Linked DNA regions of Saccharomyces cerevisiae S288C. Changing the gene in region 3 together with the main gene of any one other region gives a genetic interaction. Each region holds a gene or a part of one and is shown on either strand. Other genes may lie near its edges.

The links.
Region 1: mutations in RAD6 (region 3) and SWC5 together harm fitness more than expected from each alone (negative genetic interaction), as found in Saccharomyces cerevisiae (6 studies listed by BioGRID, with this or other methods).
Region 2: mutations in RAD6 (region 3) and ARP6 are lethal when combined (synthetic lethality), as found in Saccharomyces cerevisiae (5 studies listed by BioGRID, with this or other methods).
Region 4: mutations in RAD6 (region 3) and TSA1 are lethal when combined (synthetic lethality), as found in Saccharomyces cerevisiae (7 studies listed by BioGRID, with this or other methods).

What each region holds. Positions count from the first base shown.
Region 1 is NC_001134.8:681,104-685,722, forward strand, and holds SWC5 (Swc5p), read right to left. Parts: upstream 1,988-4,619; coding exon 1,076-1,987; downstream 1-1,075. Other genes in the region: telomere maintenance protein PBP2, read left to right, coding at 2,325-3,566; DAD3 (Dad3p), read left to right, coding at 3,874-4,158; ARC40 (Arc40p), read right to left, coding at 4,335-4,619. UniProt on the Saccharomyces cerevisiae protein: Component of the SWR1 complex which mediates the ATP-dependent exchange of histone H2A for the H2A variant HZT1 leading to transcriptional regulation of selected genes by chromatin remodeling. Involved in chromosome stability.
Region 2 is NC_001144.5:299,356-303,974, reverse strand, and holds ARP6 (Arp6p), read left to right. Parts: upstream 1-1,985; coding exon 1,986-3,302; downstream 3,303-4,619. Other genes in the region: condensin subunit SMC4, read right to left, coding at 1-1,732; RAX2 (Rax2p), read left to right, coding at 3,724-4,619. UniProt on the Saccharomyces cerevisiae protein: Component of the SWR1 complex which mediates the ATP-dependent exchange of histone H2A for the H2A variant HZT1 leading to transcriptional regulation of selected genes by chromatin remodeling. Involved in chromosome stability.
Region 3 is NC_001139.9:392,051-395,914, forward strand, and holds RAD6 (E2 ubiquitin-conjugating protein RAD6), read left to right. Parts: upstream 1-1,935; coding exon 1,936-2,454; downstream 2,455-3,864. Other genes in the region: protein kinase PKP2, read left to right, coding at 173-1,648; GEP7 (Gep7p), read right to left, coding at 2,916-3,779. UniProt on the Saccharomyces cerevisiae protein: E2 ubiquitin-conjugating enzyme that accepts ubiquitin from the ubiquitin-activating enzyme E1 and transfers it to a E3 ubiquitin-protein ligase.
Region 4 is NC_001145.3:218,349-222,479, forward strand, and holds TSA1 (thioredoxin peroxidase TSA1), read left to right. Parts: upstream 1-1,789; coding exon 1,790-2,380; downstream 2,381-4,131. Other genes in the region: USA1 (Usa1p), read left to right, coding at 1-1,530; YOX1 (Yox1p), read left to right, coding at 3,058-4,131. UniProt on the Saccharomyces cerevisiae protein: Thiol-specific peroxidase that catalyzes the reduction of hydrogen peroxide and organic hydroperoxides to water and alcohols, respectively.

The DNA.
Region 1 (4,619 bases), on a different chromosome or scaffold from region 3:
CCAGCACGTTAACAATGGAACACTCTTATTGTAGACCAACCCCACCCTACACCCCCTCAAACCGAGGACACTTCAAAAGGAAAATCAACAACTTTGGCCGATACTTGGGGGATAAGCAAGCTTATCCTATTACATCAAAAAAAGAATCGTAAGACACCTTTCCTTGCAAACCAAAAATCATAACAAAGTCGAAAAACTTCCTCTTGCAGCGCCACCAGAAAAAGAAGACGAGCGAAGAAATCAACAATAAGAGCGCCCCATCCGCACTAGCACCCCATACCATAAATATTATCTCCCAACCTACTATAGCACCATTTCTTCCCATCGATAAAGAAAAACCAAATCCCGCGTTGGACATAAACGGCTCGGAAAGACAGGGAAGAGTATGAAGCAAAAAGCCAAACTAAGGGAGAAACAGAAAGCTAAAAAAAAGAAAATAGAAAACAACCAGAAGAAAACAAAAACAATAACCTTGAGCAACCGTCGTCTCAAAAACCAATTTCGAAAAACCATCATAAAAACGCCTTATGAAGAAACCATGAGCGAAGAAAAATAGCAGCAAAAAGTAGTGAGACCTGACATTAGCGGAAAACAACTTGCTTAAAAAGTCTCTTCCCGTCCATTTTATTATTTTGGGTGCCAAAAAATGTGTATTGTAACAAATTAAAAGGTAATGAGCCTCATTGAGGTCATTTCAGTTGTTACACTGAAAAGAACAGATACTACACTTGATCTAAGCCAAAAGGCAAAGAGATTCGTGGGGATTTAAAAAAAAAACAAGTAGAAACAAAATGAATAAATCTGATAACAAGTAAAGTACTCATCGATGAAAAAATGAATGTAGAGCCCTTTTTATATGTTTTCACCGAGTGGCCCATCGGAAACGGCAAAAAAAAAAAAAGAAAGAAAAAAGAAAAGAAACATAGAGCGTTGCTAGGTTTTTTTTGCCACCCACACCCATACACCCCATTACTTTGTCTGCAGCATCGTTATACACGTAGTGAAAGTGTGCAGGCCTCGGCGGTTAAAAAAATTTGAGCAGAAAAGCATGTTATTTAATACATGTAATATTTGTCTATGAAGCTTCGCTATCCTGCTGCAACTGCTGAGCAAGTTGTTGCCGGCGCAATTCTTTGTATCTCTCGTCCTCTGCAGACCCGACCCGCTGCAGAAATTCTTGCCGGGCCAAGAACCCATCCTTGTTGTGCAGCACCAATTCGTCGTTAAGTCCAGCACGGTCTACATAACTAGCCCAGTCCAGCTGAGATTTTTCTAATGTCGTTAGCTTGGGTCGTAGCCCGCCAGAAATGATCTGCTCCAACAATGGAGGCCTTTTCAGTGGCCGTCGCAAGTGTTGCCGGCTTTCATTGGACTTGGTCCTAACTGCTTTTTCCAGTTGAACAGGAGCAGCAGGCGCCTGCTGCTTAAATTTCAAACTGTTTAGATATTCTTGACCCTCCGCACTGCTGCGTGAAACCCATTTTTTCTCATGGACAGTTTCACCAGCAAACTTGTAGTTTCTTTCGATGAGGATTTTGTCCTCCTGTTGCGCGGCCGTTGTCGACCTAGCCTCCTTGGAACCGTCGAGAACAGAGCCGACTTTCCCTGAACTGCTCAAAAGACGGTTCTTACTAGCTTCCTGTAGCTCCTCCCAGATGCTGTTTACTTTTGCAGGGATCGATTCAACAGTTAACGATTCATACTTATGTGTTTTCGCATATTCTTCCTCAGCTTGCCGAGCTCTTCTAGTCTTGATCAGTCCGCCGCTCTCGCTCTCTATACGCGAATAGTCCACTTTATTTCTACCCTTATCTCTGTTCACACCGTCATCATAGTCGTCACCGCCATCGCTGGCATCACTATCGTCGCTACCACCACCTAATTTATCTTTTTCAGGCTGGAAGTCCTCGTCCTCCTCTTCTATGTAGCCGTCCTCGTCCTCGTCCTCCTTTTCGTTTGGTATAATCTTTGTCTCTACTTCTGGCATTTATAGGCTAGTGGGTTTTCTTTCTTGAAACAATATTATTCCAGTTTACGCCTTTTCGTCTTTTTTCTTACTTGTCGATTAATCCTATTCATCATCTTTAAACTTCGCTCTTTAATTCACTTTTTTTTGTCTTTCCCCGATATGGTACTTACACGAAATATCATGATACAAAAGAAAACACGTACATACTCGTCAAACGATAAATACGCACCTAGTCGTTAGCCGCATAAGTAACCTTTTTCATATTCAAACTTATCCATAGCCACATCCACTCTAACAATTTTAATCGTCCAGCGCGGCATTAAATAATCTTTCTGTAATACTCTTTAGCTCAATTATGTCCACAGAGACTACAAAACCATCAATCACTACTACACCAACTACTGTACTCGTTTCTCCCAACACGCTCAAAAGGAAAAAGGGTGAAGACACCAGCGAGGAACAACTGGAAGCAGAAATCAAACGCGTGGCCCTGAAGGATGCAGACAGCCACTCTGACAACGACCACGATTCCCCCGACAATGTTCCCTCTGATGTACATTTACGAATGCTGTGCTTAGTCAAACACGCTTCACTGATAGTAGGACACAAGGGCGCCACTATATCTAGAATAAAATCCGAAACCTCTGCTAGAATAAACATATCAAATAATATCAGAGGTGTTCCTGAAAGAATTGTTTACGTGAGGGGTACTTGCGATGATGTAGCCAAGGCATACGGCATGATAGTAAGAGCGCTGCTTGAAGAACATGGTAACGAAGATAACGGGGAAGACATTGAGATTTCTATCAACCTATTGATCCCTCATCATCTTATGGGATGTATAATTGGCAAACGTGGGTCTCGGTTAAGAGAAATTGAGGATTTGAGTGCAGCAAAATTATTCGCGTCCCCGAATCAATTGCTGCTTTCTAACGATAGAATTTTAACCATTAACGGGGTTCCGGATGCTATCCATATTGCTACTTTCTACATTAGTCAAACATTGCTAAACTTTCAGATGGAATCTCCGCAGAAAAATGTGAAAAGGTCCATATACTATCAGCCAACTCAGTTTAACTCAGTATTAATAGACCATAGCCAACCGAACACCATTTTCCATCAAAGAAACCACCAATATCATCCAAGCGATAAACTACTTTCATACAAACCCAACAAAAATTTACCAATATCATCTACTTTGTTGAGTATGGCCACACCGCAGTATACTACTGCTAGCGTTGCAAACGCAACGGCCTTTCAACCGAACTTCGTTATCCCTAATGTGACAGTCTTAGACGGCCCTGTTATCAGTCCGGCACCCGGCAACCATTTATTAATGAACTTTGTACAACAAGAGATATTCATAGATGAGAAATTTGTCGGAAATGTCATTGGCAAAGATGGCAAGCACATAAATTCGGTCAAGGAATCCACAGGTTGTTCAATTATTATACAAGATCCTGTAGAAGGCTCTTCGGAGAGAAGACTTACCATAAGAGGTACGTTCATGGCGTCCCAAGCTGCTATTATGTTGATTAGCAATAAAATTGAAATTGATAGATCAAATGCTGAACGTAAAAGAAGGTCGCCCCTCTAAATATACTGCTAGTCAATAAAAACACATAGAAAATAAAAATACAGAAACTACAAAAGGCAAAAAAAATAAAAGAAAAGGTAATAAATTGAATGAATGTAGATATATAAATATCAATAGAAATACGTACGCGGAATTATTTCTCTTTGTAACAAATTGATCAAAAGCTTTGTATTTTTTTTTTTTTTAGCTCGGCTGCGCGCTATTACAGTAATTACATGTAAATAAACTATTCCAAAGAATACAAAAGAAGAGCTTACAGTAGCCAGTCAAAGTCGCTGTGAAACATACACGGCGTTGTAGTCACAGTATGGAACACAATCTTTCACCTTTACAGCAAGAAGTATTGGACAAATACAAACAGCTTTCTTTAGATCTAAAAGCTCTGGATGAAACTATAAAAGAACTAAACTATTCGCAACACAGGCAACAGCATTCACAGCAAGAAACTGTATCGCCAGATGAGATACTACAGGAGATGAGGGACATAGAGGTCAAAATTGGTTTAGTTGGGACACTGCTAAAAGGTAGCGTGTACTCGCTTATCTTGCAAAGAAAGCAAGAACAGGAGTCTTTGGGTAGCAATTCTAAATAATGGTTTGGTGCAAGAAATTGATTCTGATGCTTTATTTTTTACGGTACACTACATTGTGCTGTGAGTTGTAATAATATAGTCTGTATATGCCAAGTGAAGAAAAAAACAATACAAACTCAAGGTGTATTATGAGGTAGGGAATACACATAACAATATATATATATACGTATGTATATTTAAATTGTATAAATGACGATCTTACCGTCTAACCCACAGGAAGAGACTTGTGTGATTTGGCCGTTGGATTCCGCAAAAGGTCTTAATTCCACAATGGCGTTTTCATGTGCACTTTCTTGGACATCTGTGCTAACTTTACCTTTCAAGTCTAATTCTTTAAACTTTCTCAATGCGGAAATACCGAAAGTTGAACTTTCATCATTATTACCACTCAGCTCGTCTGTATTACCAGATGCAGTTAAGGCAGAAGACTTGTTATTGTCTGATTTGTCTAGATTCTTCGC
Region 2 (4,619 bases), on a different chromosome or scaffold from region 3:
CGGATTCAGCCAATTGTATCTGTGATTCTTTTTCCTGAAGTTGGAGGTCCCAAGGCTCCAGTTCCTTTTCATGCCGAATAATCTCTGCAGATATATTCTTCGTTTTATCTTTCAAAGATAGTTTAATATCATCAAGTATACTTCGTTCCTTTTCCAGCAATTGAGTCAAGTCTTTGATCTCCGTCTCGTGTTCGGTTTGTTGTCCACGAAGCTCTTCAAGCATATTCTCGGCCTCCGATATTGAATGTTTGGTGGATTTCAAAGTCTTTTCTGCTTTTTCCATTTTACTTACCAAATTTTTTGTTCTCTCTTCTAGAGACACCCTGGTGCCTTCTAATTCTCTTCTTTCTAAAACCAGGGTCTTTTCTTTCGAGCTACAAGATGATATTCGATCTTTTATTTCCTTACGTTGTGCTTTAATCTCATCCACTTTTTTCAAAGATTCTTGAAATTTCATCTTCTCATCTTCGAGGTCTTTATTCGAAGAGGAGATCTTTTCCAAGGTGCTGGCAAGTTTAGAGTTGCTTTGCAACAATTTAAATTGAAATAATTTTGATCTTAAAAGCGTCAGCTGCTTTTCCTTCTCTAAAAACTCTAACGCCGTTTCTTTCCCTGACTCTAAAGAGTTTTTTTCTCTATCAACAATTTCAAATCTATTTTCCTTTTCCAGGCAAACTTCATTTAGATTCTCAATCTGTCCCATTCGCTCTTCAATTAACGGCTTATAGTTTGCAGTTCCAATTATGTCCTCCAGATATTCCAGTAGTCCGTCGTCACTCTCTTTTTCTGCTTTAGGCTTCATTTGAGCAATATTCTCTACTTCACCTTGTAGAATTAAAAATCGTTTATGGTCTAAATCAATACCCTCATTCTTTAAAAGCTTTGTCACCTCTGTGTAGCTACTTTCTTTTTCGTTTATGTAATATTTCGATGAGTTGTTTTTAAAGGCTTTCCTTGTAATGATCAATCCAGGTTTTTCTTCATCGATTCGGGAAGTACCCGAAGATTCATCAATAACGTACTGAAAATGTACAGCTACGGAACATGATTGCAAACTTGGGAAAGCTTCTGATTTATGAATTAAATCCGACAATCTGTCCTGTCTCATCTTGTTCGCTCTAAATCCAAATACAAATAACATGGAATCGATGACATTTGATTTACCTGAACCATTGGGGCCTACCACGGCCGAGAAGCTAGTATGAAAGGGTCCTACTACTTGTTTACCAGCGTAGGACTTGAAGTTCTCTAAGACTAGTTCGTTAATAAATAGTCTGCTCTGTTGCTTGCTCGACGACTGGTGCCTATCATAAATTTTTTGTAGTTCAACCCTGCTATTTTTCACTGGCGAAAGCTGGAGCAATTCTAATCTTCTAGTTGGCGATCTTCCTGGAGACCTTGGTGGTGATTGAGAGTAGGACTTATGGTCGCGACCCCTAGAAGAGGTTTTTGGTGGTTGCAAGTTCGGTACATGTAATGACGTGGTTGTTGAGTTTGTAGGTTGAGAAAAGGCATACCGATTTTCCCCAGAACTTAAAACAAGCTTTCTGGGAGTATAAGATTTGGAATAAGATGCTTCCAACGCAGGAAGATCCGGCTCTGGTGTATTCTCGCTTAGGTTAACTCGGTTTTCTACCTGCGAATCTTCTTCGGCATCACCTTGATCAAGAGATAATTCTGGTTCTTGGGCGGACTTCCGCTTTTGTCTTTTGCTCAATGGACTATCAGACATCAAATATATTCTGTTGGTTGCACGTGGTTAGTGTTTAAGGTGATGCGGCTTCTTATAGGGCCTCTTTTATGGTATGAAATCGATTCCAGTGTGTAGATAATGTAAACCTATATGTATTTTCGTGATTATTGTAAACAGTTTACTTTCCGTCCATAATTACAAATGCATTTCAAAATGGGCCAAGAAGAACAAGAGAATTAATGCAAGACCAAAGGAGAAGAAGCGCAGAATCGTGGACAAGATAATTTAAACTATGGAAACACCACCCATTGTGATTGATAATGGCTCATACGAAATCAAGTTTGGTCCTTCCACGAATAAGAAACCGTTCCGAGCTTTAAATGCATTGGCCAAAGATAAATTTGGGACATCGTATTTATCAAATCATATCAAAAACATCAAAGATATTTCATCTATCACCTTCAGGAGGCCACATGAACTAGGACAGCTCACATTATGGGAATTAGAGAGTTGTATATGGGATTATTGCCTTTTCAATCCTTCAGAGTTTGATGGGTTTGATCTGAAAGAGGGAAAGGGTCATCATTTGGTTGCTAGCGAGAGCTGTATGACTTTACCAGAATTAAGTAAGCATGCCGACCAGGTGATATTTGAAGAATATGAATTCGACAGTCTTTTCAAGTCTCCTGTAGCAGTCTTTGTACCATTTACCAAGTCATATAAGGGTGAAATGAGAACAATTTCAGGTAAGGACGAAGATATCGATATTGTCCGTGGCAACTCAGACAGTACAAATTCCACATCAAGCGAGTCCAAGAATGCGCAGGATTCAGGTAGCGATTATCATGATTTCCAATTAGTTATTGATTCCGGGTTTAATTGTACTTGGATAATTCCTGTCCTGAAGGGAATACCGTACTATAAAGCGGTAAAAAAATTGGACATTGGAGGCCGTTTCCTAACTGGGCTACTAAAGGAAACTCTATCATTCAGACACTACAATATGATGGATGAAACCATACTTGTTAACAATATCAAGGAACAATGCTTGTTCGTTAGCCCGGTGTCTTATTTTGATAGTTTCAAAACGAAGGATAAGCATGCACTAGAATATGTACTTCCTGACTTCCAAACAAGCTTTCTTGGTTACGTAAGAAACCCCAGAAAAGAAAATGTACCGTTACCTGAAGATGCGCAGATCATAACACTGACAGATGAGCTTTTCACAATACCAGAAACTTTTTTCCATCCAGAAATTTCGCAAATTACTAAACCAGGCATTGTGGAGGCCATCCTAGAGAGCCTTTCCATGTTGCCCGAAATAGTGCGACCTCTTATGGTAGGAAACATTGTATGTACAGGAGGAAACTTTAATCTGCCCAATTTCGCCCAACGGCTTGCGGCAGAACTACAAAGGCAATTACCCACAGATTGGACTTGTCATGTTTCGGTGCCCGAAGGTGACTGTGCTCTGTTTGGGTGGGAAGTGATGTCACAGTTTGCAAAGACAGATTCCTACCGAAAAGCGAGGGTCACAAGAGAAGAATACTATGAGCATGGTCCCGATTGGTGTACGAAGCACAGGTTTGGTTACCAGAATTGGATATAATTAACTATAGATTTACATAGCAACAATGAAAATCCGAAAAGTCGAGACCTTCAGGTCATTTTCAATTTGGATTTTGTCATGTTTTTAAGAATCTTCCGCAGGCAATAATACATCTCATATGTTTTACATTTTTATTGACAAATTCCCAAATTAGGCAAAAATTCCTCTTTTTTAGTGGTTAGAAACGCCATTCTTCCCATTTTTTCGCGATACAAAAAAAGAAATATATGGAAATGTGGAAATGTCATCATCAGAAGTCTCGAAGGAAAGTGTGCGCTTTAATCATCCCCATACTAGACTTTGTAGGAGAAGATAATACAATTTTCGTTTTATATTTATACAGTTGATTGACCGGGAAACGAAGAAACGCAAGAGAAAACGATCAAAATACACCTGTTCTTCGTTACGATATAGAAATTAAATGTTTGTTCATCGTCTCTGGACACTCGCATTTCCTTTTCTTGTGGAGATATCGAAGGCATCACAGTTGGAGAATATTAAATCTCTTCTGGACATCGAAGATAATGTGCTACCGAATTTGAATATATCGCAAAATAATAGCAACGCAGTACAAATCCTCGGGGGTGTGGACGCCTTATCTTTTTACGAGTACACAGGCCAACAAAATTTCACTAAAGAAATAGGTCCAGAAACAAGCTCACATGGATTAGTTTATTACTCTAACAACACCTATATCCAGTTGGAAGATGCCTCTGATGATACTCGAATAGACAAAATTACACCATTTGGCGTTGATTCGTTTATTCTTAGCGGATCAGGCACGATAAACAATATCTCTGTCGGAAACCAGATATTATACAATTTGTCGACACTGTCTATGACGCCTATATTCAACCAGTCTTTGGGAGCTGTTCAGGCTGTGCTCGCAGACAATTCTTCTATCTATTTTGGAGGAAACTTTTCATATAATAATGGCTCCATGACGGGCTATAGTGCTCTCATTTGGGACTCCATATCAAATACCACCCAACTTTTACCTTTTGGAGGGTTTGGTGAAAACTCCAGTGTGAATTCCATAGTCAAGCTAAATAATGACAACATTTTATTTGCAGGCCAGTTTTATACACTGGATGATCCTTCTGCGCTTATCAGTAGTTCAAATAACGGTACGAACTCAACTTCCTCTTTAAACGCTACTACATTGGAGCTAGGCCAACGAATTCCACTGAGGTACGCTTCCTGGGATTCCCAGGGAAGTACAACGTTTGCATCTGATTCGTTAGTTTGTCCTAACACTAATGAGGATGCATGGCTTTATCCGGATACGTCTGGGTCTCTAGTTTGTAATTTACCATA
Region 3 (3,864 bases):
AAAGGGAAACACTATGTTTTGAGTCATCCAAACTTTCATTTTTTTCAGATTTCATCGCCCGATCGTCAAGGAATAAAAAGGGAAGGGATGGGATACTTGCATTGGAACCCAGAAAGTACGTAAAAGATGAAGATCGTGAGAGATTGGTCAATGGATAAATAGTTCTGTAATTATGTCTAAGTATCAAATTAATTGCATAAGATACCGGCACTTTCTCAGGACATCTAATATCTCGCAGATCCCTGATTTCACGAAATACTGCATTGGTCCCGTAAATGAAGAATTGGCACCTTACATCATGGAAACCATGAAGGCATACCCTTCAAATTCCGAATATATCAATCCGCAGCATTACTATCATAATAGAACGGTATTAGTAGAAAATTACTTAAAACGAAGTCCAAATCCAGTATCATTAACGCAGTTAGCGCAATATTATGACGATTCTACCAAGCTGACCAGAACCAAGATCATCAATTCCGGGAAATTTGTAAAAGAAGAACTGGTAATTAGGATCGCGCATAAATTAAATCAATTGCAACAACTTCCATTTAATGTTGTGAACAACTTCCATTTTGTTCAAGTTTATGAGTCATATTACAATATTTTTGAAAGCTTTAGAAAATATCCGACTATAAGAACTTTAGAGGACGCTTCTCAATTTGCAGATTTTATCAAAAATATGCTAGAAGGCTTCAATACTCTAAACTTACCACATTTGATAATGGGGGCTTTAGAATGTACAATTTTGGATCTTTATCCTCGTGAAAAAATGGACCAACTACTATCTGATCTGTTAAGAGCTCGAATATCAAGAAGATTGATTGTAGAGGAACACGTCAGTATCACAGCCAACTACACTAGTGGTAAGGAGGAAAATACCTTGGTATTGGGTGATATTTTTCAAGAATGTAGCGCTAAAAAATATTTATTGGAAGCCAGTGAGGAATCTCAAAAATTTATCCAAGATATGTACTTTAAAGACATTCCCATGCCAGAATTTATTATCGAAGGTGACACTCAACTAAGCTTTTACTTTTTGCCTACACATTTGAAGTATTTGTTAGGGGAGATCCTTCGAAATACTTACGAAGCAACCATGAAACACTATATTCGTAAGGGATTAGAAAAGCCGGAACCAATCATAGTAACTGTAGTAAGTAACGATGAATCCTATTTGTTTAGAATTTCAGATAAAGCTGGGGGCGTCCTCCATGATGATGAAAATCTATGGTCATTCGGTAAATCGAAAGAAAGGGCTCAAGAATCCCTAAATAATTTTCACAAGTTACCTGGTTTACAAACAGTATCTATTTATGACGAAGTACATTCCCATACTAAATATAACTCCAAACTGAAGTCATTGCAGTCAATAACATTAAAACCGTACATGCACACGTCGCTAGAACCAATGAGTTATCCTAGCATCATAAATGGGCACATCAAATATGAAACTCCCCTAATTGAATTGTTAAAGCGGTCTTTTAGATACAAGCTTGGGATTGGGTTAGCCATGTGTAAAGTGTATGCTGAATATTGGAACGGCGACCTTTCATTGCATTCAATGCCTGGATATGGTACCGATGTTGTATTAAAATTAGGCAACTTGATGAAGCATACGAAGAAACTACAATTAGATAAAGTGTGAGCTAACCATGCTTACACTATATACCAAGGAACAAATACATATTCGGAATATTAGTATGGTGACTACATTTCCCGGATTAGTGTATGTATATACAAAAAGGCACCTCCGGGTAGCCGGAGTAGAAAGCTGGAAAAATAAAAATGAAAGCGAATGGAATGTGTAAGAGAAAAAAAGGAAAGAACTATCAAGTTGCAGAGTTGATGACATAAATAGTAGAGTGGAAAATCAACGAAGATCGAATTCCAAAGATTATTTTTAGGCAGACAGAGACTAAAAGATAAAGCGTCATGTCCACACCAGCTAGAAGAAGGTTGATGAGAGATTTTAAACGTATGAAGGAAGATGCCCCACCGGGTGTATCTGCTTCACCATTACCTGATAACGTCATGGTATGGAACGCCATGATTATCGGGCCAGCCGATACTCCATATGAAGACGGAACTTTTAGGTTATTGTTGGAGTTTGATGAAGAATATCCCAATAAGCCACCGCATGTCAAATTTTTGAGTGAAATGTTTCATCCCAATGTCTATGCAAATGGTGAAATTTGTTTGGATATTTTGCAGAACAGATGGACTCCAACATATGATGTCGCATCCATATTGACATCCATTCAAAGTTTATTCAACGATCCAAATCCAGCTTCGCCAGCAAACGTTGAAGCTGCAACATTATTCAAAGATCATAAATCACAGTACGTCAAAAGAGTTAAGGAGACGGTAGAGAAATCTTGGGAGGATGATATGGACGATATGGACGATGATGATGATGATGATGACGACGACGACGACGACGAAGCAGACTGAGAAAAATCAAAAGAATCTTAATGATGAATGCCGAGCCGATATTATGAATTCGATTACCTTTTTGTTCAATCAAATATAGGGCTTCATCGTGAGTTTCTTTCTCTATCGATCCGTTTGCTTTCTATTCCTCCATCTTCTACTTTATACCGTAAAGAAAATTTAATAATGATAGAAACATTGCATATAAATAATATACTAAAAAGAAACACTGCTCTACCATAAATTTCTTTGGAGAAAATAACGTGAAATGAGAAATAAGGACAATTTGTTATCGGTTATAACTGCCGATACCCGTATCTTTTGTGTTTGATTCAAGGAATACTTATTTAGAGTAGAAAGAATATATTTACTTAGATAACTTAATGTATAATATATAAAAAAAATCAAAAAAACAGGAAAAAAAAAAATCATGAGTGAGTGGCACTTTTAACTGCAAGAATGAAGAGTGACCCCATTTTTTTTTATTCTGATATTACAGTACTCTTCTGTGCGGGCAGCTCCTTCGTTTTTTGTTTTGCACTTTCATCCAACCACACATATATGGAAACAAAAACGACGAATGAAATTATAGCTTTGCTGAATGGATCTATGCTCTTCCAAGTAAACCTTTTATCATCAAGATGAAACACCTTGACCACGTTTTGCACATCAGCAGGTAGTATATTTGCGTTTTTGTTATTTTGTAGGAGAAACCAATTATATTCGATGAATGGAAGTTTCAAGAATTGGGACCTAACTGACGGAGAAGAGTTTGTCAGGACAAATTGAGTTCGAGGTCCAAGAAAGCCAAATGACTTGTAGTACCACAACTGAATGAAATCTTGCTTTAGATCATTCCAGTTTCCTCGCATTTTCTCATTTATGGCAAAATCCAATAAATCTAAGTCATTACCACTTAACTTAGGAAAATTCTGAAGTAATATATTCGTATCTATCAACTGATTGTTATGTGTCGAAGACGGATTGAAGAATTTGTTCATAATGACACCAAGCTCGCCGTTGTTTAGACGCTCAGTTAATAAATGATCGCGTTTCAAACCACTTGTTTCGTCTTCATCTAGATCTGGTGCACTTGGCTGCAAGACGCTAAATATCTCGGACATGGTCTGTGAGAAGGAAATGGGGTTTTCTGTAGATGTAGTACTGCCATTTTGAGCTAACCGTATTTTCTGCTTCAAAAGCAGTGAAGCCGGTGGAATTCTTTCTAATTTTGGTTGATAAAATCTCTTTACCAAAAGATTTCCTGCGACTGCTTTAATCATGGGACCGATTCTGAAGGCTCTATGCGATTTTAATCTGAAGATTTTAACATTTGACAGTACCATCTCAATCGGACCTTTTAACTGATTTTAGCGAGAACATGTGTATATATTTCCTCTAAGAAAAGAAAGGGCCTAAAAACCTCGCCCC
Region 4 (4,131 bases), on a different chromosome or scaffold from region 3:
TACATTAAAGAGCCACATGAAGTGAAGGTCCATGTACAAATCAACCAAGAGTATACAGAATCTGGGCCTGGATTTTGGAATGAAGTGTTCAACAATCCGAATATTTTCCAATTCATGCCTCCAGATACAAGGTCACAGTCACCTGTTAGTTTCGCTCCGACGCAAGGACGATCTCCTGCTGCAATACGTGGCGAAGAACGGGGTATACCATACGTAACCGAATCTGGAAATGACATCGTGCCCACAGATGAGCTTTATAGGAAATGCATTATCAACGGGGATGAAGTAGTATTCATTCCTGTTAGCGAACTAAATCCACAATCGAGCTATTTGTCCGTGATCAAAGGCGATTACGGTGAAATTAAAATCCCCATATCTAGTAATGACTACAGAATTAATGGCGATAATATTTTGCTATCACCATCTGCGATAGAGCAGTTAGAATCTGCTTTGAACTTCAAAATCGAGAGACCACGGGATTCGACACTCTTGCATCCGTCTGGTGAGCATGTTCGAGCTGCAGATAATACCTCTTCGGCAAATGATAATAATACAGTTGAGAATGACGAGTCAGCGTGGAATAGAAGGGTAGTGCGTCCCTTGAGAAACAGCTTCCCGCTGCTATTGGTATTGATAAGAACATTTTACTTAATTGGCTATAATTCATTGGTTCCCTTTTTTATTATTTTGGAGTTTGGAAGCTTCCTTCCCTGGAAATATATCATTTTACTAAGCTTGCTTTTCATTTTTAGGACTGTTTGGAATACCCAAGAGGTGTGGAATTTATGGCGAGACTATCTCCACTTGAATGAAATTGACGAAGTCAAGTTTAGCCAGATCAAGGAGTTCATCAATTCCAATTCATTGACCTTAAATTTCTACAAGAAATGTAAGGACACTCAATCCGCTATTGATTTACTGATGATACCTAATCTACATGAGCAAAGGCTATCGGTCTATTCTAAGTATGATATTGAGTACGACACCAACACCCCTGACGTTGGACAATTGAATTTGCTATTTATCAAGGTGCTATCGGGTGAGATTCCTAAGGACGCGCTAGATGAGTTGTTCAAAGAGTTTTTCGAATTGTATGAAACGACAAGAAACATGAACACACTATATCCTCAAGACTCTTTGAACGAATTGCTGCTGATGATTTGGAAGGAGTCCCAAAAGAAAGACATCAATACGCTACCCAAGTACAGAAGATGGTTCCAAACCTTGTGCTCGCAAATAGCGGAGCATAACGTCCTTGATGTCGTACTCAGATACATAATTCCAGACCCGGTAAACGATAGGGTGATAACCGCTGTGATAAAGAACTTCGTGCTCTTTTGGGTTACACTACTCCCCTATGTGAAGGAGAAGCTGGATGATATTGTTGCACAGAGAGCAAGGGACCGTGAGCAACCGGCTCCATCTGCCCAACAGCAGGAAAACGAAGATGAGGCCCTCATAATCCCTGACGAGGAAGAACCCACCGCCACAGGTGCGCAACCTCATCTCTACATTCCTGATGAAGACTAATTGCAATGCGATGTGGCCACGTTATATAATGCGTTTAAGGTGTACGAAAACCCATGCTGTTCTGGCCCGTCGGGTTTTCTGACAAATTGTCCTTTAGGGATTTTTCGGTTTGGCTCGGGTTGGCAAAGTCGGCTGGCAACAAACCAGGACATATATAAAGGGAGGTAATTCGTCAGATCAATGCCGAACCGTTCTCAACGGGCCTTCCCCTCGTTCAATTGCTCACAACCAACCACAACTACATACACATACATACACAATGGTCGCTCAAGTTCAAAAGCAAGCTCCAACTTTTAAGAAAACTGCCGTCGTCGACGGTGTCTTTGACGAAGTCTCCTTGGACAAATACAAGGGTAAGTACGTTGTCCTAGCCTTTATTCCATTGGCCTTCACTTTCGTCTGTCCAACCGAAATCATTGCTTTCTCAGAAGCTGCTAAGAAATTCGAAGAACAAGGCGCTCAAGTTCTTTTCGCCTCCACTGACTCCGAATACTCCCTTTTGGCATGGACCAATATCCCAAGAAAGGAAGGTGGTTTGGGCCCAATCAACATTCCATTGTTGGCTGACACCAACCACTCTTTGTCCAGAGACTATGGTGTCTTGATCGAAGAAGAAGGTGTCGCCTTGAGAGGTTTGTTCATCATCGACCCAAAGGGTGTCATTAGACACATCACCATTAACGATTTGCCAGTCGGTAGAAACGTTGACGAAGCCTTGAGATTGGTTGAAGCCTTCCAATGGACCGACAAGAACGGTACTGTCTTGCCATGTAACTGGACTCCAGGTGCTGCTACCATCAAGCCAACCGTTGAAGACTCCAAGGAATACTTCGAAGCTGCCAACAAATAAGACGCTTGCAGAGTTGTCTAAATGACTACTTATTTAAAATTCACTCTTTACGTTTATACCTATCTATCTATATATAAAACCCATAAACTTAATGCTATTCACTGACAAAACGATACACTACCGTCTAAGAAGCTATTCACACTAGCTCAGTTCTAATAACAATCATCGTCTGGCTCTAAAACGCGTAAACCATTCACTGCCACACTCACTTTAGCTCTGTTGCTGCCCTTCATACGCTGAGACGCGACGCTTCTTTTCTTTCATATGATTTCCCTTCTAGGCGACACGCCATGCCCCAAACGGGGAACACCGCGAATTCCTTCTGGTGCCCGGTTTCCTCTTTGGGAAGGGCGTCAAAATGGTACAGCTCGCTATAGTCGCCAATTACTGCAGATGCTTAAAGGCTTCTGCAACTGTATGTCCAACCTAGTACGTGGAAACTTCAAACGCGAACAATCTGTATGCTGTTTCGGGCTACTTATTGCTCTATACGGTTTTTAGTGGACACGAACTCTTGTAATTATTATATATATATATGCCTTGGCATTTTAACAAGACTCTATGTTGTGATTTCAGTATGATTTGGGTGAAAACACAGTGGTGACCACAGAACAACGAGGTAACAGTTCCAGACCACTACCTTTCCCCTTCAATCTTTGTGATTTGATCAATTCTTGATGTCACAAGAAACAAAAATGCTACCTTCTCTATCTAGTCTTCTATCGGGAACCGAAATCTCGTCCAGCCCCGTATCACCAAGCTTCACTAATCCAAGAACGAGTTTTCACCTCGATGATCGCGGAACCATAAAATTACCACCGCTAAACACCAGTATCAATCGTCCAAGATCTGTGGAAAGCGCCTTGAGACACACTGTTACATCCTTGCATGAAAATAGCAGCGCTTATGGTGATGACATGCTCAAGCACACGCAATCAGACTCAGCCCTCTCATCTCAGTTGAATAGTTCTCAAGAAACAGTTGATGAATCACACGAAAACCTTCTACTGACTCCCCTAAATAGCAAAAAGAGAGATTATTCGGTTTCTTCAAAGAAAAACGACATATTAACACCACTCTCTGCAGCGAAGTCGATTATTATCCCCTCTGCCTCTAAGGAAAAAAGACGTGCATTTGCTTTCATCACACACTCGCAGGAGACCTTCCCTAAGAAGGAGCCTAAGATCGACAACGCTCCACTAGCACGCCGAAAGAGAAGAAGAACCTCGTCCCAGGAACTATCTATTCTTCAGGCTGAATTTGAAAAATGTCCTGCTCCATCGAAGGAGAAACGAATTGAGTTAGCTGAATCTTGCCATATGACTGAAAAAGCCGTTCAAATATGGTTCCAGAATAAAAGACAAGCGGTTAAAAGGCAGAGAATCGCCACTTCGAAGTCAACCACTATAATACAAACGGTATCTCCACCATCTCCGCCTCTGGACGTTCATGCTACGCCACTAGCATCCAGAGTCAAGGCGGACATACTTCGTGATGGAAGCTCATGTTCTCGTTCTTCCTCTTCTTCACCGCTGGAAAATACGCCGCCAAGGCCTCATCATTCCCTAAATAGGCGCTCATCCACACCAAGCATAAAGAGAAGCCAGGCTTTAACATTCCATCTAAACCCACAAAAGAAGACGTTGACTCCCGTGAAAACGTCTCCCAACAGCAGAGTAAATAAATTGATCAATAGCATAGATCATTCTCCATCCAAAGCCAAGCGTCCGGTAAGCAATCCCTCCGGCTCC